Elephas maximus indicus: one gene and its partners. The protein of the gene in region 2 purifies or fractionates together with the protein of the main gene of each other region. This does not show direct contact. Links are inferred from orthologs where the notes say so. Each region holds a gene or a part of one and is shown on either strand. Other genes may lie near its edges.

What was found.
Region 1: the proteins of TRIM27 (region 2) and KPNA1 purify together in Homo sapiens (co-immunoprecipitation; 3 studies listed by BioGRID and IntAct, with this or other methods). This does not show direct contact. The link is inferred for Elephas maximus indicus from reciprocal best matches to the Homo sapiens genes TRIM27 and KPNA1.
Region 3: the proteins of TRIM27 (region 2) and MAGEL2 purify together in Homo sapiens (affinity purification with western blotting; 3 studies listed by BioGRID and IntAct, with this or other methods). This does not show direct contact. The link is inferred for Elephas maximus indicus from reciprocal best matches to the Homo sapiens genes TRIM27 and MAGEL2.

Annotation. Positions count from the first base shown.
Region 1 is NC_064819.1:13,087,983-13,095,899, forward strand, and holds the start of KPNA1 (importin subunit alpha-5), read right to left. Parts: upstream 3,008-7,917; 5' UTR 2,830-3,007; intron 1-2,829. UniProt on the Homo sapiens protein: Functions in nuclear protein import as an adapter protein for nuclear receptor KPNB1. Binds specifically and directly to substrates containing either a simple or bipartite NLS motif.
Region 2 is NC_064819.1:85,514,599-85,522,030, forward strand, and holds the start of TRIM27 (zinc finger protein RFP), read right to left. Parts: upstream 3,083-7,432; 5' UTR 2,704-3,082; coding exon 2,284-2,703; intron 1,024-2,283; coding exon 928-1,023; intron 1-927. UniProt on the Homo sapiens protein: E3 ubiquitin-protein ligase that mediates ubiquitination of various substrates and thereby plays a role in diffent processes including proliferation, innate immunity, apoptosis, immune response or autophagy.
Region 3 is NC_064831.1:99,075,565-99,082,590, reverse strand, and holds the start of MAGEL2 (MAGE-like protein 2), read left to right. Parts: upstream 1-3,965; 5' UTR 3,966-4,075; coding exon 4,076-5,518; intron 5,519-5,680; coding exon 5,681-7,026. UniProt on the Homo sapiens protein: Probably enhances ubiquitin ligase activity of RING-type zinc finger-containing E3 ubiquitin-protein ligases, possibly through recruitment and/or stabilization of the Ubl-conjugating enzyme (E2) at the E3:substrate complex.

The DNA of each region.
Region 1 (7,917 bases), about 72 Mb from region 2:
TTCCATTATGGCTGAATTCATAATATCCTGCAAAGTACACCGAGATCTTAAAACAAAACAAAGACAGTAACGAGATTATCTTTAGGTCATCTTTACTTGCATGGTCAATCAAAAGTTGATTTTATACACAGTATTCACACATACTTCCAAAAATAATTTGACAGATTTAAAGGCAAGACGTCAGAAAATCATCAAGACTTTATTTAATCATTAATTCAACAAACAACATGCTAAAACACTGGAGATAAAAAGAATAAAATATTTCTTGGAAGAAGTACAGCCAGAAAGCTCCTCAGAAGCAAGAATGGCCAGACTTCATCTCTCCTACTTTGGACATATTATCAGGAAGAACCAGTCCCGGGAGAAGGACATCATGCTCGGTAAAGTAAAGTGTCAGTGAAAAGAAGAAGACCCTCAACAAGACGGACGGACTGACTCAGTGGCCGCAACAACAGGCTCAAACACAGCAATGACTCTAAAGCTGGTGAAAGACCGGGCGGGGTCACTAGGAGGCAGAGCCGACTCGATGGCACCTAACAACAACAATTCAACCAGCAATATGCTGAAAACACTGGAGATAAAAAGAATAAGATGTAATTCCTGCCCTCAAACGGAAGAGGAAAGGTAAAATAAGAAAATAGTGAAGGCATAAGAGAACACAAAGAAAACAGGCCAGGAAACAACTGAGCATAATTCCAGGCTACCTCGCAAAAAATATACATAACACAGTTGAGGCTAAGGAAAATTACAAAAATTCAACACAACTCAGTTCTGAGCCTCCTGACAGCCAAAGTGTAAAGAGAAACAGAACGGCATTAAAACAATCATGATCTAATAAAAAGCAGTTGTTTAAAAAACTAAAAATAAAAATGACCGAGAAAAAAGCCTGGTACTGAGCTCGTAAGAATCTGTCTCTAAGGTCTCTATTTTATGAAGATCGATGAATAAATAAGAAATAGTGTCTCCAGGAGCAACGAAGTTAAGATTATTTTCATGTCCTTTCTTCTACGTCGATCCTAGATAAAAGTCAAGGTACATGATATTATATCATAGTTCTATGAAAAAATTTATTTGAGAAGCTAAAGTAACATTATGTAAGTATACTGATTTCATGGAATAGGTTTATTTTTGTCATTTGGTTCATTCTAGGTTTCTATGTTTTGATTTCCTATTAGACTGTAAACTCCTCAAGGATTATACTGTCTGCCTGCATTTGAACTTCCTTTGCTATTTAGTAAAGTGCTTTACAGTTTCTGCTCAATTACAACGACTAATAAAATGCCCTGCAGTCAGTATTTTATATTGTTAGTCTTTCCTGCTACATTATAAATTCCATGAGGACAGGGACAGTGTCTTGTATAAATTCCATGAGGACAGGGACAGTGTCTTGATGACGACTATATCTCAGGCACATGATCACTCCATAAATATTAGCTGAATAAATGAAATAAAACAAAACCCGTGAGTATTAGAGAAGAAATCTTAAAATGGAAGTGATTTAGGGCTCTAAGGCTGGTTCCAACAAGGCCTGAATGACCTTAGGTAAGTTACTTAACTTCCCCGACCTTCGATGTTTTTGTCTATATAACAGGACAAATTAATATTTACTTTTTAAAAATTTACTTCAGAGTTACTGACAACATTAAATGTTTTAATACATGTAACATACTTAACACTACGCCTTCAAAGGCGCTCAATTAATAGTCATTCCTCTACTTTCTCTCATGTCCTGCACGTCAAAAACATGAATCGCACATAAAACAGGGCCTTCCAAGACTAAATTATTTCAGTAAAAATAAAATAGAGTTCCTTCTCACTTTGCTTTGAGAAAATGTCATTTCTTCAGTCTTTAAAATCGGGGGAAAGTAATGTGAGAATTACTTTCAGAATATTACAGAAGGAAGAACAAATTAAGGAAACAACAATGCCAAAAATAAGCTTTGAAGCATGGGGGGTGGGGGGCGCCCGACGGCGGGACCACCTACCCATCCCCTGCTAAGAAATGGGGGCTTTGAAGACACCGTTTATTTAAGAAAAAGACTGAAAAACATCATTTAGCAGCCTTTACAGAAAAAAATTCACAGTCGTTGATTCTAAATTTAAATCTTAAAAGTCAATTGTTTTGCAATCTGTCATTGAAAAGGGGCTCGTTAAGTACTTCCTTCCGTTCGACCCTAAAACGTTCCTTCGCGACGATTTCCCTAAGTCACCGTTGAGTTTCCTCACGTTTTGAGCTGAACCTGACACCTGGCTGTTTCCCTCGAGTCGCACACGCCACGCACACGCGAACTTCTGTCATTCCTATAATTACCACAGCCCCGTCGGCCGCTTCGGGCCCCGGTTGTTATGACATCTGTAAACTGCAGTCGTTCCTGCCTCCTCCCAGGCCGCCCGGCCGCCGCTCCGGGCTGGGCCCCAACTCGTCGGTCCCCACGACGGCCCCTTCCTGCCCTGGCGACGGTTCGTCCTCGCCGCCCTGCCCTCCCCGGCCCGGGTCCCCGCGCTCCGCGCTGCCCGCCGCCGCCCCCGGCCGGCCTCACCCCGCCCCGCCGCCTCGGCGCCCCGCGGTCCCCGGCGCCGCTTCCAGCCCCGCCTCGACCGGCGTTCCTGACGGCGATCGCGCCCGCGCTCCCCACCCCCACCCTGGCCTGCGCCGGCCGCGCGGCCGTTAGTGAGGACAGCCGGGCCCGTGACGCACGGACGCGCCGCCAACGCCCGGGCCCGGGAGCCGAGCTCGAGCCCGGCCGGCGCACGCCCTCACGCCGGGGCCTCCCGCGGGTCGCACCGAGGGAGGGGGAGGGGCCGCGGCCGCGAGGCCCCAGCACTCACCAGGCTGAGGGCAACCGATCCCGGTGCCACTGCTGAGGTGAGCCGCTCGCCCGCCCGTCCGCTGTAGCTCCTCTGCGCACAACCTCGGAGAGCCGGCCGGCGCCGCGGCGGTGCTCACCAGGCCTCGCTCTCCGCCGCCGCGCACCGAGCAGCGAGACCAGCTCAGCCGGCGTTCGCACTGCGCCTGCGTGCGGGGGCCGGTCCCCGCGCCTGCGCGCTCCGCTCCGCCGCCCTGCCGCAGAGGCTGCTGGGAGACGTAGTCTTCCACCAGTGTGGCACTGAGCGCCGCTCGCCGTCTCCAGTCTGTAAGGAGCCTGGGGTAGGGGAGGGGGTTCGCTGTCCACAGCGCGGGTTGTAGATTCGTGGAGGCGTGACAGAGACGGTACTTCTTACTTTGTATGGCAAAGTTATGTTTACAAATCTGTCTTCACTAAACTTTTTCAGGGCGGATGAAGCCTCATTCACCTCTCCATATTTAGCTTCTGACATGGCAAGTACCTAATACGTGTTTATTGGATGAATGATGTATTGAAGCCCCAGGGGGCATTTAAAAAGTGTTAAAAGTGAGTGGCCTCAGGTCTAAGGCGTTCGCGTGCTGCATGGTTGCAGGAAGTCCCTGTGTATTCCACTTCTAATTCTTTCCTATCCCCATTGCCCGATAATATATGAGTAAGAAATTATATGAAACCCAAATAATTGTTTTGCTCTCAATAAGTGCTCTCAAACGAACATTTAGGGCACATAAATATTATGGTTAAATTTAAGGGAAAAAATATATAATGGAATTCTTCTTTTGAGGGAGCAAGTAAAGCAGTGGCTTCAAAAGAAGAAAGATGGAAGCCAACCAAGCAGAGGTCATGGAATAGGAAGTCTCACAGACGACATGTTTTATCAAATCAATTTAAAAGATAGGCGGAGAAGCCAGGAAAAAGAGATGGGGTAGGTTATTTACATTTATAAGTGAGGGAAAGACGGGAGGACCATACCACCTGAATCCTAGGTTAGGCAATGTTTGTATGTCCTGGATTTCTGTCTTCCCTATCAGCTTACCCACTGTGATGCACTTAGACGGATCAGACTGGAAGTTTGAGCAGGGGTGCTGAGGAAGTGGAAGGTGTTTATGGGAGAGACTTGGGAGCAAGGATGCCTGACCACAGCTAAGCTAAGGGCAGATCACCTATTCCAATTGGAAACTAGGATTATTCTGAGCTGGACTACCATCTTTATGGAAGCTAGTTGATTTCCAGTTCATCCTTATTCCTAGCTAGGGTACAGCCCTTGAGGGTCCCAGCCAAGTGTGGGGTATAGTTACTAGGGCCTCTTCTCCTTGGCTTGAGAGCAAGAGGTTTGGTTTTGGTTCTCCTTGGCCATGCCTCCCCAGCCCCAAGGGACAGCCAAAAGCTCTGCTCAGTTTTTCAGCCACTGCTTTCAGAATCTGTCATCTCAAGTGGAAAGCTGAGCTTCCCCTTTTTTCCAGATCTTGAACTCACAGGTTTTCACTGCCTTGGTAGCTCTTCAGTGCCTTAATCTTTTGTATATTTTGTCTAGTTGTTCTCTGAGAGTTGGTCTAATACAGCAACAGTATGCCATTGCTGGAAGCAGAATTCCTACATCCATGTTACTTTTACAAAAAACGTTATCATACATGGTGTTTTACAAACTAATGACTCTCTTAGTACATCTTTTTGTATTTTGAGAAATTAAAAAATTATAAAACAGTATTTTTGCTATGATAAACAATGCTGCTATGAACATTCTTATACAGGGAAACTGCTAGATCCTAGGAGGTTGACTATTTTCACTAGATGTGCTGCGAAGAATTCTAAGATGGTTCCAACTATCTCTGCTTCCTGGTGTTGCCTTATATAATCCCCTCCCCTTGATTGGGGGGCGGGAACTTTGACTTCTACCGGATAGAATATGGCAAGGGTGATGGGATGTTATTCTATGACTGTGTTTCACTATGGGAGACTCTGTCTTACTAACTGAGCTAGAGACTGGCCTGGTGGCCTTGAAGAAGCAAGCTGCCATGTTGTGAACTGAAAAAGGTCTCCTGGCAGGAAACCGTAAGTGACCCCCAGGACTCTGGGGAAGCCTCCAGGTCAACCAACAGCCATAAAAAGCCAGGGCCCTCAGTCATCGACCACAAACCCAGTGTCGTGGAGTCGATTCTGACTCACACAACCAGAAGGAAAAGAATTCTGCCAACAATCAGAGAACTTGGAAGCAGATTCTCCCTCAGTCACACCTCCAGATGAGAACACAGCCTGGCTGATACCTGATTGCAGCCTTGTAAGACCCTGAGCAGAGGAAACGCCTAAGCTGTGCCTGGACTTCTGACACCCAGATATTGTGAGCTAATAAATGTGTTTTAAGCCACTAAGCCTGTGGTAATTTGTCACACAGCAGTAGAAAACTAATACACTAGGTATTGCTGGATTATTTCACAAAGTAGTTGTACCAATTTATACTCCCACAGTTTATAATACTGTCTTTTCTACATATTTTTGCTAACATTTAGAAATGCCTGATTTTTTTTTTTAATTTTTGCCAGTCTGGTGTGGAAATAAATAATATATAATAAACAATCATACACATGCATTATTATTTTTATTTAAAAACATGAAAAATAGATGTTTACTTGAAATTATATAGTTTTATTTCTTTTCTGTTACATAAATGCTATTATTTAAACAAAAGAAATATGTGTGAAAAACATATAACAATATTTTTATGATGTTTCTGTCCTCTAATACAGAAATTTATTTTAACTCTTTTTTTAATTCCATTACATATTTAAATTTTATAGGCTATATTATTGTGTGTTCTTAAGATACATAAATGTGAGACTTTTTAAAAAGAGAATGTAAATACAATGGGACTAATTAAACAGATACTACCTATATTAAAAAGTAACAATGACATGTTTCTTTCTGTCCCAAGATACAGTAGGATATTTTTACTCTTTTAGTTGCCTTTTCTATTAATGCATCTCTGAACTCCCTGGAGCCTTTAGGGTATCTTTCTTTTCTTTTGTGTAGTGGTAAAACTGAATACAGTCAGACATAAAATTAATTTCGACTTGCAGCTCTGCTCTTATAATGCCTACATTGCACTGATTCCTGGTGTCAGTACAATGCAATGACATTAAATATTCTCTCAACAAACGTGTTTGAGCATAAAATACTTAGGATTTTACTTAATAACACAGCAGTTCTTTTAACTTGTAGGAATTCATTTCCAGCTTTCCAAAATGTCCATCCACTTTGTATCTACAAGCTTGCTTTGGTAAACTAGCTTTTGTCTGTCAATCGGGTCCTTTGCATCTATAATCATGTAGGTTCTCCATGTCTAAAATGCCCATCATTTTTAAACACTCTGAAATACGTTGAATGTCATCATAAGTTAACTCTCTTTTCCCCAGGCAAAATCATTTTAAAGCATAGAGGTGATTTGAATTGTGAAATCAAACTTGGAGTCCAAATTAGTCAGTTTAAAAATTATGAAGCAATCTTACTTACAAAAAAATTTAGTCTTTTTTTTTTTTTCTATGTGAGTTTTTATTGCAATCTACACAGAACATTGAACAACTCAGGTGCAGTCCGTTCATCCTTTTTCTAGGCTCGTTATGGCCTCTTCAAGGATTATCAAACAGTTTTAGAAAACAGTATGTATGTTTCTGTTTTACTGTAATCCTTGTCCCCTTTCTCATTCTCAATGTATTTCCAAATTGGAGCAGGATATTCTTCTTGTTGCACACTTTGAAAATGTGATTTTATGGCAAACAAATATTTTAACGTCTTTTCTACGGCCAGCAATGATGATAGTCATATTGTAGGCACATGTCTAAGGAGATTATCTCTGTCATGGATTGAATTGTCTCCCACAAAAATGTGTGTCGACTTGGCTAGACCATGATTTCTAGTATTGTGTGGTTGTCCACCATTTTGTGATCTGATGTGATTATCTTATGCGTTGTAACTCTTAACCTCTATGATGTTAATGAGGCAGAATTACAGGCAGTTATGTTAATGAGGCAGGACTCAATCTAAGGGATTGGGTTGCATCTTGAGTCAATCTCTTTTGAGATATATAAGGGAGAAACGAGCAGAGAGGAGAGCGGCCTCAAACCACCAAGAAAGAAGTACCGGGAGTAGAGCACGTCCTTTGGATCCAGGGTTCCTGCACTGAGAAGCTCCTACACCAGGGGAAGATTGATAACAAGGACCTTCCCCCAGAACTGACAGACAAAGCCCTCCCTGGGAGCTGGCACCCTGAATTCAGACTTCTAGCCTCCTAAACTGTGAGAGAATAAACTTCTCTTTGTTAAAACCATCCACTTGTGGTATTCCTGTTATAGCAGCAGTAGATAACTAAGACAATCTCATTCCATTTCTATGAAGTGAAAAATGTGATTAAGTGCTTTTCCACATTTTGAAGAAACTAAAGTGACCAAAACTTTCATTATGAAAGCTGCCATGTCACATGTAAGCAAACCACACTCCTCGTTTAGCAGTGTTGTTTACAAGGTGTGCAGGACGTTCGTTGTTTCTAGTTGCCATGGACTTGGTGCTGACTCATGGCGACACCATGTGTACAGAGTAGAGCCGCCCCATAGGGTTTTCATGGCTGTAATCTTTCAGAAGCAGATTGCTAGGCCTGTCTCCCAGGGTGCCTCTGGTGGGTTTGAAGCACCAGAGTTTTGGCTAGCAGTTGAGCACTTAAGTGTTTGCACCACCCAGGGACTCTTCGCAGGACATTTAGTAGATGAAATCTTTTCATTTTCTTCGTTAAGAAGTTTAGAGATTGAATGCAAAATTAGCATTTGCACTGAAAACACTTAAATGAGCCAAGTCAAGTTTGTATTTGGATATCAACAATCTTGTTTTATAGTTTTGTGGTTTCATTAAAATCTTCATAAAGATTGCAATCAATGTCATGGAACAATTTGTGTATGAATTATCGAATGGAAAACTGATTTGCTGTGTAAACTTTCACCTAAAGCACAGTAAAATGTTTTAAAAAAAAAATCTTCATGGATACCAAGAAGACAATTTGAAACTCCATTTTTCAAACTGAAGTACCTAA
Region 2 (7,432 bases):
AGAGCTTCCTGCCTAAAAGCTTTACCTACCATACCCTGGCCAGGAGTAACCTATCCCATTGCTGTCGAGTCAATTCCGACTCATAGCGACCCTATAGGACAGAGCACAGCTGCCTCATAGGGTTTCCAAGGAACGCCTGGTGGATTTGAACTGCCAACCTTTTGGTTAGCAGCCGTAGTACTTAACCACTGTGCAACCATGGCTAGGAGTAGTTAACAAAAATTCTCACAAGACAGGACTAGACATTACTAGTTTAGGAGTTTGCTTTTCAGATGCAAATATCTCTACTGGAAGAATATTTGTACTATTTTAATTATTGCCCATAAAAAAGTATAAACACATGGGTGGTGGAAATATAAGTGTGTGTTGCAAAAGTTTTTGTACTTTTTGATATATACATGTATATATTTTTTCAAAAACAAAACGCCCAAATACTCCTATCAGAAATAAGCACATGAGCTACTTGGCAAGGCTTTGGAAGGATGGGGGAAGAGAGCAAAATGAAAAGTTCAGAGTTGATAAACTGTCAAGGATAGGAATATTCCAGGCAAGAAGCAACAGCAAGGCTTACTCAAAGTCACTATTAGCTCCTGTCTACAGGATGATATGAAAGGAAGCTAAGTATGCCCCAAATTTCACCTGTTTCAGCTCTGTCAAGGATCAATGCTGATCTATACAAAGCTAGCAGGTTAAATCTTCTTTGAAGGTCAGAATCTCCAGGGATTCCCACCTTGGTTCCTCCATCCTTTCCCCAAAATGTGGAAATAAGCTTAGTTATCTATTAGGTGTCCAGATGAGATCCCAACTGCACCTAACAGCTGTGGGTGACCTGGCTGAACAAAGATAACAGAAGTAGCATCAGCCCAGAGAAGAGGGAATGACTGGCCAGCAGAAGTAATATTATCCATCATTCGTGATGACCCTTACCAAGAGTTCAGCTCGTGCCTGCTCCCCCTGTGCCCGCCGTCTCTTCTTTAAGTCTTTCACTCTTTTTAGGTGGTCCAGCTGGTTCTGGATTTGCTCCTGAGGAAACCATGACAGTTGCCAGTTCAGGATTAGGAAAACTTTAGCATCATCATGGTTATTCTGCATGTCACACATGGAACCCACACACCTCATGCCAAGACCCTGGTTAGAGCCTGTCTTTAGACCACATTGCCACCACGGAGAAAAAGGCCAAGAACCCAGGGGGGCACCAAGGGTCTCCTTTGTCTGTTTGTGTGTATCTTAAACAGTGGATTACCTTCTCCCCAGGAAGGATACTGTAGTTTCGTTGGGAAGGTGACTGCACTAAGAGGCTTAAAGCCAAACTAACTCCTCCACAGAGGTATCCTGAGAAAATGACTTCTCTTATTTTCCCCATGTATAACATTTTTTTTATAACATGGGTGAATGAACACCACCTTCCCAAACTACTCAGTGTTTATCATGAAGGTGAGTGAAATAATTAAGTGAAAGCACTCTAAACATTAAGTGGCAAATTATGTATTAATGTACTCACATTTAAACATGTATAATTGTGTATCCCTGCAGCACTCAAGTATACAGGTATCACAGCATCATGCATTCCCTGAATGTTGCCTTAAAACTTATATTTAATACTTTGTTTCCATGTTAGTGTTTAGCTGTGTCAGTCTGTTGATCCAACAGCTCACAAAGGGCTCCACACATATTTCACTTAATCTTCATAATAATGTGTTGTTACCCTCCTGAGTCTCAGAGAGGTTAAATGACTTGCCCAAGCAGTAAAGTGCTCTGTTCTTTTCCAGGAGCTTGTAGAACAGGCCAGAGCACAGGGAAGTGCTGGTGAAATGCTTATAGGCTTGATTCGATGTATGTACAGCCAGTTAACCTCCGGGTGTGTTCTGTCTGAGATCAGAGCCCACAGGAGTACTTGTGTCTCTGAAGGTGGCTGATGTGTATGTCGCTTTCCTCACACCTTTCAAAATGTCCAGGTGGGGGTGGGGGGTGGGAGCGTGGGGAGGTCTCTACGGGGGGCCGTCTTTATACACTACGTGTCCGTGAGCGGGTAAACACAGGGGTATAACAGGGAAAGCAGAGTGGGGGGTGGGGGAGACTTCTGGCTTCCTCACCAGCTACAGGTTTTTCTCCCAAATCTGAGTGCGAAGGCTCTGAAGCGGACAGAGAGGAAATGACGGCTGTGAACCACACGTCCGGCTCAGCCATTTTCTAGGCGGAAAAAAGGAAACCCCCTTGGCTCTCTCCTCCCTTTGTCCGACTCCGGCTCCCCGCCCCTCCCCGCTCCGCGCGCCGGGCCCTCACCTTGAAGCCCTCCACGGCTTCCTCGAGCGGCAGCACGCTGTGGCCACGGTGCTCGCGGGAGCGGTCGCACACCACGCAGATGGGCATCTGGTCTTCCTCGCAGTACAGCTTCAGGGGCTCGCGGTGTTTTTCGCACACGCCCATTTCGCCGCCGGGCCCCGACGGCCGCTCGGTGCGCAACTGCTTCACCAGCTGGGTCACGTTGGCCAAGTGCCGGTTGGGCCGCATGTGCCGCTGCGGGAAGGTCTCCCGGCACTGCGGGCACGACACGTTGGTCTCGGCCGCGCCCCAGCAGCGGGCGAGGCACGCGCAACAGATGTTGTGGCCGCAGTCGAGCATCATGGGCTCGGCGAAGTACTGCAGGCACACGGGGCAGGTGGTCTCCTGCTGCAGGCACTCGGCCACGCTCCCGGAGGCCATGGCGCTGGCCCGCGGGGGCGCACGGGCATGGGCCCCTTCGCTGAGCTCTGCGCGGAGCCCCACTCTACTGCGCTCCCTACGGGTCTCCACTTCAGGACGCGCGGGGAGGTGAGCGGGGCGGCGCCTTCCGGGCCCAGATGCTGGTCGCAGATCCCGGTCGCGCCCGCGCGCTGGAGACTCGAAGTGGCGGGGCCCCTCTCGGCGCCCCGTTGCGTGGGCGCCGGGACACTCCGGTCCCACGGAGACCCGTACCGAGGCAAGGGGTCCAGGAAGTGGGCGCAGCCGACCGGACTCGCGGGGCCAGGCGCGCTAAGCGCGCAGGACAACGTGGCCTCGTTCTAGCGGATCCCCGAGGCCGTGTAGACCCCACCCCGGCGCTAACGGAAGAGGCGGCTCGGGGGGGCGGGGCTTGGGCCGGGCCTCCCGAGCGCGACAGGGTTTTGTGGCCTCCAGGCCTGGACTGTTTCCTCCCAGAAAGGACTGGGTGGCGGGGCCGCCGGTATTTGGGCGGAACGCGCTGGAGCAGGAGCCTCGGGAGCCTGTGACAGGGGCAGGCGGTGTCCGCCGGGCGCAGCAGTGACAGGGTCACCCCAGCCTTCATGCTCGGGCCCACCTCCGAGCTTCCGCGCTCCTTCCCGGTCTTGGACCCCTAGTCTTTTGTTGGGTTACCTCTTTTGTGCCGAGGCCTCAGCTCCTGAGAGGGAAAGCTGGCTTTGTGTTGGATCTGGGAAGCACAGACATCTGGCCTGCCCCATGGGGCGGAGGGACGGGGGGAACCGACTGCACCCCACCCGATATGTGAGACAGATACACTTTATCGAACAGCTCCATTTACAGGCTCTTGGATTTTTTTTTTTTTTTAAGGCTTAATTATTAGGCAAATTATCGTTTCTGTGGGTTGTAAATGGAGTCAGACAAGCCCAGTTCTGCTACTTTTCCGTCTGTGCCCAAACAAGCTGGTTTACGGTTTTGGGCTTATAGTTCCCCTCCCCGCACCACCCCCCCGCCCGATTGAATGGGAATGATAACTGTACCCCTAGTGAGGAAGGAGACTTTATTATACCTTTATTTTTGAACCATAATGCTATGAGTCGGAATCGACTCGACAGCAATGGGGTTAATTACTATGAAAATAGCAATAAAATAGCTACTGCATGTTGTCGTTGTTGGTTGCAATGGAGTCAATTCCGATTCGTGGTGACCTCACGTGCGTAGAGTAGAACTGCTCCACAGGGTTTTAAAGGTTGTTTTGAGTAGAACTTTTAAAAAATTGCTTGTTCCTTCCCAAAGCATAGGAAGGTTGAGAAACCTGCAGTGACCCAAGCCCTTGGAATTCCACAATGCCCATTCTCTTTTCATCGTCCACCAAAAGAACCAAAACCAAGCCCAGTACGTACCATCGAGTCGATTCCGCCTCATAGCGACCCTATAAGGACAGAGTGGAACTGCCCCATAGAGTTCCCAAGGGGTACCAAGCGGATTCGAACTACCAACCCTTTTGACTAGCAGACGTAGACACTTAACCTCTACACCAGCAGGCCTTTTCTCATCTAGTAGACTTAAAGCTCTTGTGTTGCTCCTTCATCCCTACCTTGCTATTTCCTAGTTTCCTTAGATATTTTCTCAGTATCATCCTTGTACACCAGCAAGAGGGGCCTCTGCTTCCTACTCCTCACTTTAAAAGTTCCACTTTGGTCCTCCTCACTTATGGGGCAAGACATCGACCAGACTAACTGGACTTGCCAACCTCAAGCCCATATCCCCCTTCCAAACCACATTCTTTTGAGTATCCCAGTATGCAATTTCAGTTCCGGATAGCCCCAGCCCACTTCTAAAAAACATCTGGAAAAGCCTTATATTCACTTATGGGATGTGAGAAGTTTGGTGTAACTGAAGTGTAGTGTGTGTGTGTGCGTGTGTGTGTGTGTGTGTGTGTGTGCGAGCAATGGAGACAAGGCTAGAGAAGGCGGTTGGTGCTAGACCATGAAGGGGCCTTGTCTGTCACTCTCTGAAAGTTTGAACTCGGTATTGTAGGAACAAGGAACCAGCAGTTTTTCCACAGGTCAGAATTTGTTTTCTAGGAAAATAACTGAAGGCAACAAAGGATAAACTAGAATGAGGAGAAACTGTGGTAGGGAGATGAGTGGCTTTGTGCCTGTCAGCTGGGAAAATGGTAGTTCCCCCGGTAAAAACTGATACATTGACTATATCTTTCTTCAAATACTTAGATTTGTCCAAAGATTGGGTTCTAGCCAGAAATAATGAGTATTGAATTGCCACTTCAATTGAGACACACTGGAAAGGGAACAGGGTGGGAACAGTAAGAGCTCTCTATGTCTCCAACTCAGAAATGGGTATGACCATCAAGCTCCCTCAGCTTAGTGTTTTCTTCCACACCCACACACCTCTCCCTGAGTCTCAAGCTCCTGGGGCCTCCTAAGGCCCGGCCCATGGTCCAATCTCCGCTATCCTAAAAGAGTTTAAATTCACGGTGCAGGCGGCCACAGTGGCCATTTTTAAGGTGTCACTGGCATTTTGAATATTCAAGAAGGAAATGGGCTGGTAGACATTACTGTTGTTGTGCACCATATGAGTCAATTCCGACCCATAGCGACCATATAGGACAGAGTAGAACTGCCCTAGAGGGTTTCCAAGGCTGTAATCTTTATGGAAGCAGACTGTCACATCTTTCTCCAGCTGAGTGCTGGTGGATTCAAACCCACAACCTTTCATTTAGCAGCTGCGTGCTTAACCACTGCACCGGCAGGGCTCCTTTGGTAGAAACTACCAAGTGCAAGTCTTCCCTTTTCCCCTTTCTCTCACCCATCCCCATTCATCCCCATTCAACCTACCTATTTTACCCCACCTTTCCTTTTTTTTTTTTTTTTTTATCCATAACCCACCTCTGGGGTTGACAAGGAGTTGATAACACCATCAATTCTGAAAAACAAAGCCAAACTACAGGTCTGTATCCCTGAGATAAGAGGGATCAGATGCTCTACTTTAGAATTTGCTGGTTTATCTGCTTATAAAGCCTTTGTCACATACACTTTTTCTGTCTAGGTAACATTTAAGATTCCTCTCAAATGCAGTGAAGCCTTTCTACCTACTCACAGAATTCTTGTGAGAGCTCACTTACTGTTTACCACTACATCCTGCATTCCTTTGTGTGTTCCCCTCACTGAACTGAGAGCTCCTTGGGAGCAAAACTCTACTCTGTCTGACTTTGAATACTGCCTGGCATGTGGCTAATGGTCAATAAAAGTTTGCTGAAAGAATGATTTTATTGTCTTTCCTTTATCTTCTAGACTTATTGGAATTTTGAAAAAAATTTTCTTTTTCTTTTTCTTGCTTTGCTTTTATTGCTCAACTTGGCCTCTATTCATTTTTATTTCAATCACCACACCCTGACTTAAGTTATTACAATAGTCAGTTTACAAATGTTTTTGAAATGAATTAATAACTGGATAAATGCAACCATTTCCTATTAGTGTCCCTATTTCTAGTTTTTTCCTCTAGTCTGTTACTTTTTCCTCTAGTGATTACCACCTCAAGGGAAAGAATCATCCTTAAACATCCCTAACATGCTTCTTTCATTCTGCCACTTCTTACTGAGAAATCTTCAATGCTTCCTTTTTTGTCTCTAGGACATTGTCCAAATCCTTTAAGATGGTGTCCCATCTGAGTACCTCCAGCCTCCAACACAGGCTGATACCTTCACTGTCCTCAAACAACACCTCCAGTCTTGCCACAACCCTCTCTACAAGGCCTGTTCAAGAATCCCACCCCATCCTTAGAGCTTATCTGAAAAAGGCTGGCCTCATTGATTTCTCTTCTTTCCGCTTAGGCTCCTGTGTTCACACAGAACCTCACAAGGCACTTGCTTATTTTCTATCATATGACTTTCTTTGACTTTGCCTTGCATGAAACTCTTGCTTTTCTGTCAAAGCTCTAAATCAGGACATATTTTTAGAGCAGGAAGTGATTTTAGCTTTCACGTAGTCTAATACACTCACTTTATAAATAAGGAAACCAAGCTCACATAATTAAGTCCATGAGGGGAGGGACTCCTCATCAGACCTTCTTGTATGTTCTCTGTTATTTCTCACACGTACCTCTAACCATATCAAAAGCCCATAAATATTTGAACTATTAGACTAGCAGTTTAATGCTTCCACTGTCACGTTTTATGTATATCTCTCATCTTTATAACCCTTACTTTTTTTTTGGATTTTGCCCTCATTTTCTTAGAAAATCGCAGAGGGCGTCTGGCTTTATTGCAGAATAGATGCCCAATTTCTTTACCTGGAATCCTAGCTCTGCAGTTACTAAGGCCTTCTGGCCTTTCTGTGTCCCCATCCCCTGCTTCACACTCTGGCCCAGTCAATTCTCCACCTTTGCCATGCCAACCCCTCAGCCTGTCTGTCCCAAACCCCAGGTCTCCATCATTTAAGGCCCAACTCAAATGCCATGGCATCTCTCTTCTCTGATGGTCCCTAATCTTTTTTCTCTATTCCCTTAGCACAACCTCTGTACCTTCATTGAATACATACAGTTGGCAGATTAATCAGCAGCAGCATTTTATGAAGAATCATACTTAATGTTATCAAGTGTTTTGCTTTCTGTTGTTCTTGAGTCACTTATTCAGTACTATCATCTGGTTGCCCTCTGCATCTCTGTTATCCATTCCAGCCATCTCAAGCTATCGACACACCCAAAATGTAGCTGA
Region 3 (7,026 bases), on a different chromosome or scaffold from region 2:
AAATTCCCCACTGGTCTCAGGGCAGTATTGAGCCTTGCTGTTATTAAGGCAGACAGTTTTCACAAAGGGGCTGCATGTCCTTTGGTTCCTCAGGTACATTTGATGTTGAGGATAGGTAATTTGTGAATAGCTAGACTGAGACAGTCAAGTGCTCTGGGTCTAAGAGAACTGGTTATCTAAAATAGAGAGATGTACTTTCATGGACAGAATAAACTCAGTGTACCTACCTTTACTGGCCCCAACAGGAGTCCCTGGGTAGTGGACATGATTAATGCGCTCAATAGCTCACTAACCAAAAGGTTGGGGGATCAAGTCCACCCAGAGGCACCTTGAAAGAAAGGCCTGGCTATCTACTTCCAGAAAAGTCAGCTTTTTAAAACCCTATGGGGCACAGTTCTACTCTGACACACATGGGGTCACCATGAGTTGGAATTGACTCAACAGCAACTGGTTTTACTGGTTCCAACAGAATAACTGGATGCTTGTGTCTGAATTTTTACACCCTAGTTCAAGAATGTACCAAGGAGTTGCAAAGGTGATGATGGTTGACTTGATCACCTTCCACCTCTACTAACATCCACACATTTTTTCCCTGCACATTCTTGGCACTTCCTTTCTGGCTGCTGTATTTCCTGTAAGCATAAACTGGGGCTCCATTCATAGGCTGAGTTTAGTGGAAGCTGACATCGTATTACTCATTCAACTCCAACACCAGTTAGGACAATCAGGTCTTACTGATAGCCATTTGCTGTGTGGGATGACCCACAGAATGGGGGACTGAGGATCAAAACAGCCATAATCCTGAAAAAGAAACAGTTAATGGAAGAACTCAATTTCTAATGACTTTGTACCTTTGAAGTGGAGGAGGAAAAGTAAGCCTTAGGGTGGAAATTACATAGGCTGGAAAATAGACTGTCCCAAAGCCACCCACAGCCAGAAACTCCTATGAGGCAAAGGTGATTAACAGGGAAACATGAGGGTTATGTGTGTAAAGCTGTCCCCACTGAGCAGTCTCTAAACCCCTATGAAAGTTCAAAGTCCTATGTTAAAATGGGTTATTGACACCAAGGAGAGTCCTGGAAAACACAAAGCATGACAGTATCCATTCCGTAGAAGCAACTTGCTGTGTGCCATGCCAAGTGCCTAACAAGTGAAGCGCCTTCTTTGGGTGTACACGGGAGTGACATATCTTCAGGTCCCCTGAATAAGCCACTTGCATTTGAAAAGCAAGAATGTTCTGGGATGGCTTCCCGTTCCTTCAATTGCCAGGAAAGTCACTGAAACTTATTATAGACCAAACTGTATCCCCCCTCAAAATATCTGTTGAACCCCTCTACCTTGTACCTGTGGATACAATATATAGGAAATGCTTTTTCTTCTGTTATATTAATCAGGTCATATCAGTGCAGGCTGCATCCTAAACCTAATCATTTCTGAATTATAAAAAGACCAAAACAGACACAGAGAAACACACAGGGGAAGGCAGATATCCTGTGAGGATCATCTATAAGCCAAGGAATGCCAAGAAACGCCCAGGGCTACTAACAAGGAAGGAATGACATGACCAAAATTCCCATTTGAGCTTTTAACCTCTAGAACTGTGAGAAATAAATTTCTGTTTTTTAAAGCCACACATTTGTGGTATTTTCTTTATGGTTGCACCAGGAGACTAAGATGAAACATCACCCCTAAATTCTTCTCTCATTATTGAAGGCAATGCACTCCCTTGGGAATGCATAATGTCTTCATTTGGTAATTACATATTACCAAATTTGAGGGACACTGGTTGAAGGTGGAAACCCTAGTGGCATAGTGGTTAAGAGCTTGGCTGCTAACCAAAAGGTCAGCAGTTCTAATACAAAGGCACTCTTTGGAAACCCTGTGGAACCGTTCTACTGTCCTATAGGGACGCTGTCAGTCAGAATCCACTCAACAGCAATGGGTTTGGGTTTCTGGGTTTTCTGGACTCTTATCCTAGACTGTGAACCCTCCTCTACGTATCACCCTCAATGTTGATAGTACTTCGTATATTTTCTCTGGGTGGTTCAAATGGTTAGCAGGGAAAGGCTGGAGGTTCAAATCCACCCAGAGGTGCTGTGGAAGAACCACCTGGTGATCTACTTCTGAAAAATCAGCCATTGAAAACCCTATGAACCACATTTCTGCTCTCACACACATGGGTTCCCACGAGTCAGAGCTGACTTGACAGCAACTGGATATTTTATATTTTCAAGAAGCTGCCCAACTAAACACAGACAGTCACTTCCTTTCAGCAAAAGCATTATATTGTTGCTGTTAGGTGCCACTGAGTAGATTCCAAATCATAGCAACACTATGTACAATGGAAAGAAACGCTGCGGGTCCTGTGTCATCCTCACAATCATTGCTATGCTTGAGCCCATAGTTGCAGCCACTGTGTCAGTCCATCTCATGGAGGGTCTTCCTCTTTTTTGCTGACCCTCAACCAAGAATGATGTCTTTCTCCAGGGACTGGTCCCTCCTGATAACATGTTCAAAGTATGTGAGATGAAGTCTCACCATCCTCACTTCTAAAGAACATTCTGGTATAGTCTTATAAGTAATATAGTCTTACCCAGTATTTTTGATATCTTCTCCTTTGTCTGTTAATACATCATCTTCCCATTTTAAGTGGATTTTTTTCCCATGAGAGAAGCCCTGGTGGTGCAGTGGTTATAGGTTTGGCTGCTATAGAAAGGTTGGCAGTTTGAACCCATCAGCTATCCCACAGAAGAAAGATGCGGCAGTCTGCTTCTGTAGATTACAGCCTTGGAAACCCTATGGGACAACTCTACTCTGTCCGATAGGGTTGCTATGAGTTAAAACTGACTAAAGGGCAACAGGTTTGTTTTTTTATTTCTTTATTTTTTTTCCCATGAGTTGGTTCCCCAGAAATTTTGCATTTTACTCTTTGTCCACTTTCCTAAGTATCAATCTTCGATGTGTTCATTCATGTTATTGTTTTCTAGTGACTTTGTTTGTTTTCATTAACACAATTTATTTTCTGCTCTGCAACTGGCAAACATGAGCAAGAAACCCACTTCAACTATCATTCCAGCCATTCCAGAAGTTTTCACCATACGAGAAAATGCTCTCTTCTATTAATTTTGGGCACATACTAATTTCCAGGATTTCTTTCTTTCTCTCTCTACTGATAGCAATCCCTTTTCTCTGCCTGTAGTCTTCAAGACATTTCTCAGGAGTTTCTTGGCCTCTATACTTTTCGCTCTAAAGTCTTTGCTTCCATAACACATTCATTCCCACAGCTTTATTCTAAGGAGGGGTGCCCATATTTGACTCCTAGCCCAGGTGTCTTATGAGCTCCAAGCCATACACAAGTGCCTTCAGGGCCCCTCTCCTGAGAGGTCCCACAGCAGTGTAAATGCCCTATGTCCCAATCAACGCTCATCGAAGCGTCTCCCCATGTGCCTCGCACTGTGTCCCTAAGAGAGTAAATGGGTACCAACAACGTCCCACTTTCCCAGGATAGAGACATGCATTCCGTCTGCATCTCCTTTACACCTACGTTAAAGTATAACAGCCCCTATTCTACCTCCTAAATCTCAGTGCATCCACGTACTTCTTACATCCTCCCTCTCCTATCAGAGCGCGGGTCACACCATCTCCCCCCTTCTGGATGCCTTCCATGTTCCCAGCGGTCTGTCCCCATTCCACACTGCTGTACAGTTATCTTTCTAAAACATAGATCTGTCCCTGTCACTCCCCTGTGAAAAGTCATCCATGGAGAGGCTGAGTAGGCTGCATTTGGGGACTGGACACAGTGAGAAGGGATCTTGTGTCAGCCAGGACTTCTGGTAGACGCCCCTATGCTCTATCCACTTGTGGTGGTCGGGGGCGGGGAAGGGGGCGGGATTGAGCCCCCTTCCCCCCTCCTCCTTACTGCGGAAAGCTGCAGAGAGAGAAGCACTCACTTCCTATTCAGCAGTCAGCGGGGAGGGAGCCTCTGAGCAGCCACGTAGGCATTCTCTTCTCTCTGGAGGAAAAGGCCCAGCAGCTGTCCGAGGAAAAGGCCCACCAGCTGTCAGAGCAAAGGGACATGTCGCAGCTAAGTAAGAATCTGGGTGATTCGAGCCCTCCTGTCGAGGGCCCGAAGCCACCGGTCTATAGCCGCCCTACGGTTCTGATGCGGGCCCCGCCCGCCTCCTCCCGGGCCCCACCAGTCCCTTGGGATCCACCTCCTCTTGACTTGCAGGCTTCATTGGGTGCTTGGCCGGCACCTCAGCCTGCCTGGGAGGCCCCACAGGGCCAGCCGCCAGCCCCGGTGGCGCCGATGGCCCAACCTCCGGCCCTAGGGGCCCAGATGGTCCAGCCTCCCCCTCTGGGAGGCCCGATGGGCAAGCCTCCGACTCCTGGAGTCCTGATGGTCCATCCTCCTCCCCCGCCGGGAGCCCCGATGGCCCAGCCTCCAGCTCCCGGAGTGCTTATGGTCCATCATTCAGCTCCGGGAACCCCCATGGCGCATCCTCCCCCTCCGGGGACTCCGATGGCCCACCCTCCCCCTCCGGGGACACCGATGGCCCACCCGCCTCCTCCGGGAACCCCGATAGTGCACCCGGCCCCTCCGGGGACCCCGATGGCCCATCCTCCCCCTCCGGGGACCCCGATGGCCCATCCTCCCCCTCCGGGGACCCCGATGGCCCATCCTCCCCCTCCGGGGACACCGATGGCTCACCCTCCCCCGCCGGGGACACCAATGGCCCATGCTCCCCCGCCGGGGACCCCCATGGCCCAGCCTCCAGCTCCTGGAGTCCTGATGGCCCAGCCTTTGACGCCGGGAGTCCTGATGGTCCAGCCTCCAGCGCCGGGAGCTCCAACGGCTCAGCATCCACCTCCCGGAGTCCTGATGACCCAGCCGCTGCCTCCGGTAGCCCCGATGGCCAAGCCTCCAGGTCCTGGCGTTCTGATGATGCATCCTCCGGGTTCCAGAGCTCCGATCGCCCAGCCTGCAGCTTCAGGAGCCCCGATGGCGCAGCCAGCTGCCCCACCTGGGCAGCCTTTGGCTTCTTGGGCCCCACAGGCTCAGCCTCTGATCCTGCAAATCCAGTCTCAGGTTATAAGGGCTCCTCCGCAGGTTCCCCAGGGTCCTCAGGCCCCGCAGGCGCAGCTGGCCACGCCTCCGGGCTGGCAGGCCACCTCGCCGGGATGGCAGGCCCCTCCACAAGGCTGGCAAGCCACACCCCTAGGCTGGCAGACCACGCAGGTCACCTGGCAGGCCCCAGCGATAGCCTGGCAGGCACCTCCATCTGTGCGCCAGGGCCCTCCGCCCATCCGACCAGGCCCGCCACCCATCCGCCCCGGCCCGCCGCCGGTGCGCCAGACCCCACCCCAGATCCGCCAGGCCCCTCCGCTGATCCGCCAGGCGCCACCGCCCATCCGGCCAGCCCCGCAGGTCCTGGCGACCCCGCCGCCTCTCTGGCAGGCCCTTCCGCCTCCTCCGCCTCTGAGGCAGGCCCCGCAGGCTCGGCTGCCGGCCCCGCAGGTGCAGGCGGCTCCGCAGGTGCGGGCGGCCCCGCAGGTGCGGGCGGCCCCGCAGATGCGGGCGGCCCCGCAGGTGCGGGCGGCCCCGCAGGTGAGGGCGGCCCCGCAGGTGCGGGCGGCCCCGCAGGTGCGGGCGGCCCCGCAGGTGCGGGCGGCTCCGCAGGTGCAGGCGGCCCCGCAGGTGCGGGCGGTTCCACTGCCTGCGCAGGTGCCCTCGGCACCACCAGCAGGACCACAGGCGCCCCAGGCCCAGCCTTCGACTCAGCAGATCGCGCACTGCCCGCCCATCATCTGGCAGGCCCCCAAGGGCCAACCCCCAGTGCCGCACGAGTTGCCAACGTCTATGGAGTTCCAGGAGGTGCAGCAGACCTGGCCAGCCCCGAAGACCCCTGCTCACTTTTGGCAGCCCCTGCCGGCCCAGGAAGTGGAGAGGCAGGGCCCGCAGCTGGTCCAGCTGGAGCAGCCCTTTCAGGGGGCCCCGCCCTCCCAGAAGGTCCTGCAAATCCAGCTACCCACCCAGCAGGCCGAGACATCGGGCTCGGGCTCGCAAGCAGAGCTGCCCCCTCTGCAGCTCCAGCCCTCCTGGCAGGCCCCACCCGGAGCCATGCAGGCCCAGTCAGCAGCCTCCTTAGGGGCTGCAAATTTTCACAGGGGCTCTGCTAAATCACTGATGACTCCTCCATCCGGAGAATCCAGGGCCTCTTCCGTAGACCCTAGGGCCTCCTCCAAGGAACGCCGGACCTCTTCAAAGGAACGCAGGACTCCCTCGAAGGACCGCATGATCTTCGCTGGCACTTTTTGTGCCCCAAGGGCAGTGTCAACTGCCCGGGCATACCTGCCAACTGCCTGGAAAAACCCACCTGGCACATCAGAGACCTTTACTGCCACCTCAAGGGTCTTTCCAGCTACCTCCCCGATCTACCCTGCCTCTTCTGTTACCTTTAAGGGTCCAACTGTGACCTCAGAAACCCCGAAGTCACTGCCGCTTGCTCTGCAGAATCCATTTGCCTGTGAAGAAGCCCTGCCTGCTGTTTCCTGGGTTCCTCAGCCCAACTCCAATGCCTCAAAGGCATGGAAGTCAGCACCCACCTTCCTGATGGCCTCAGCAGCTGTTCCTCGGGCAACAGCCACCAACGATGAGGCCTCTAAGACTTCCCAGCAGCGCCGCTCAGGCAAAGTTGCCCGGAAGAAGAAGCACCTGAATGCCCAAGAAGACAGCAGTGGTCATATGCTGGCCCTGCATGATTGGCAGGCCCCAAGGCCCTGGAGCAATCTGAACTTGAGTGACTGGGAGGGCCAAAGCCCCCTCCAGGTCCTGGGTGACTGGGAGGGCCTGAGCGTCTCCTGTGGCCTGAGTGGCTGGGAGGGCCCTAGTACCTCCAGGATCTTGAGTGGCTGGGAAGGGCCCAGCACCTCCTGGGCTCTGAATGCCTGGGAGTGCCCAAGCACCTCAAGGGTCCTGAGCGTCTGGGAAAGCTCAGGGAAGCCTGAGCCACTGATCTTCTCTGA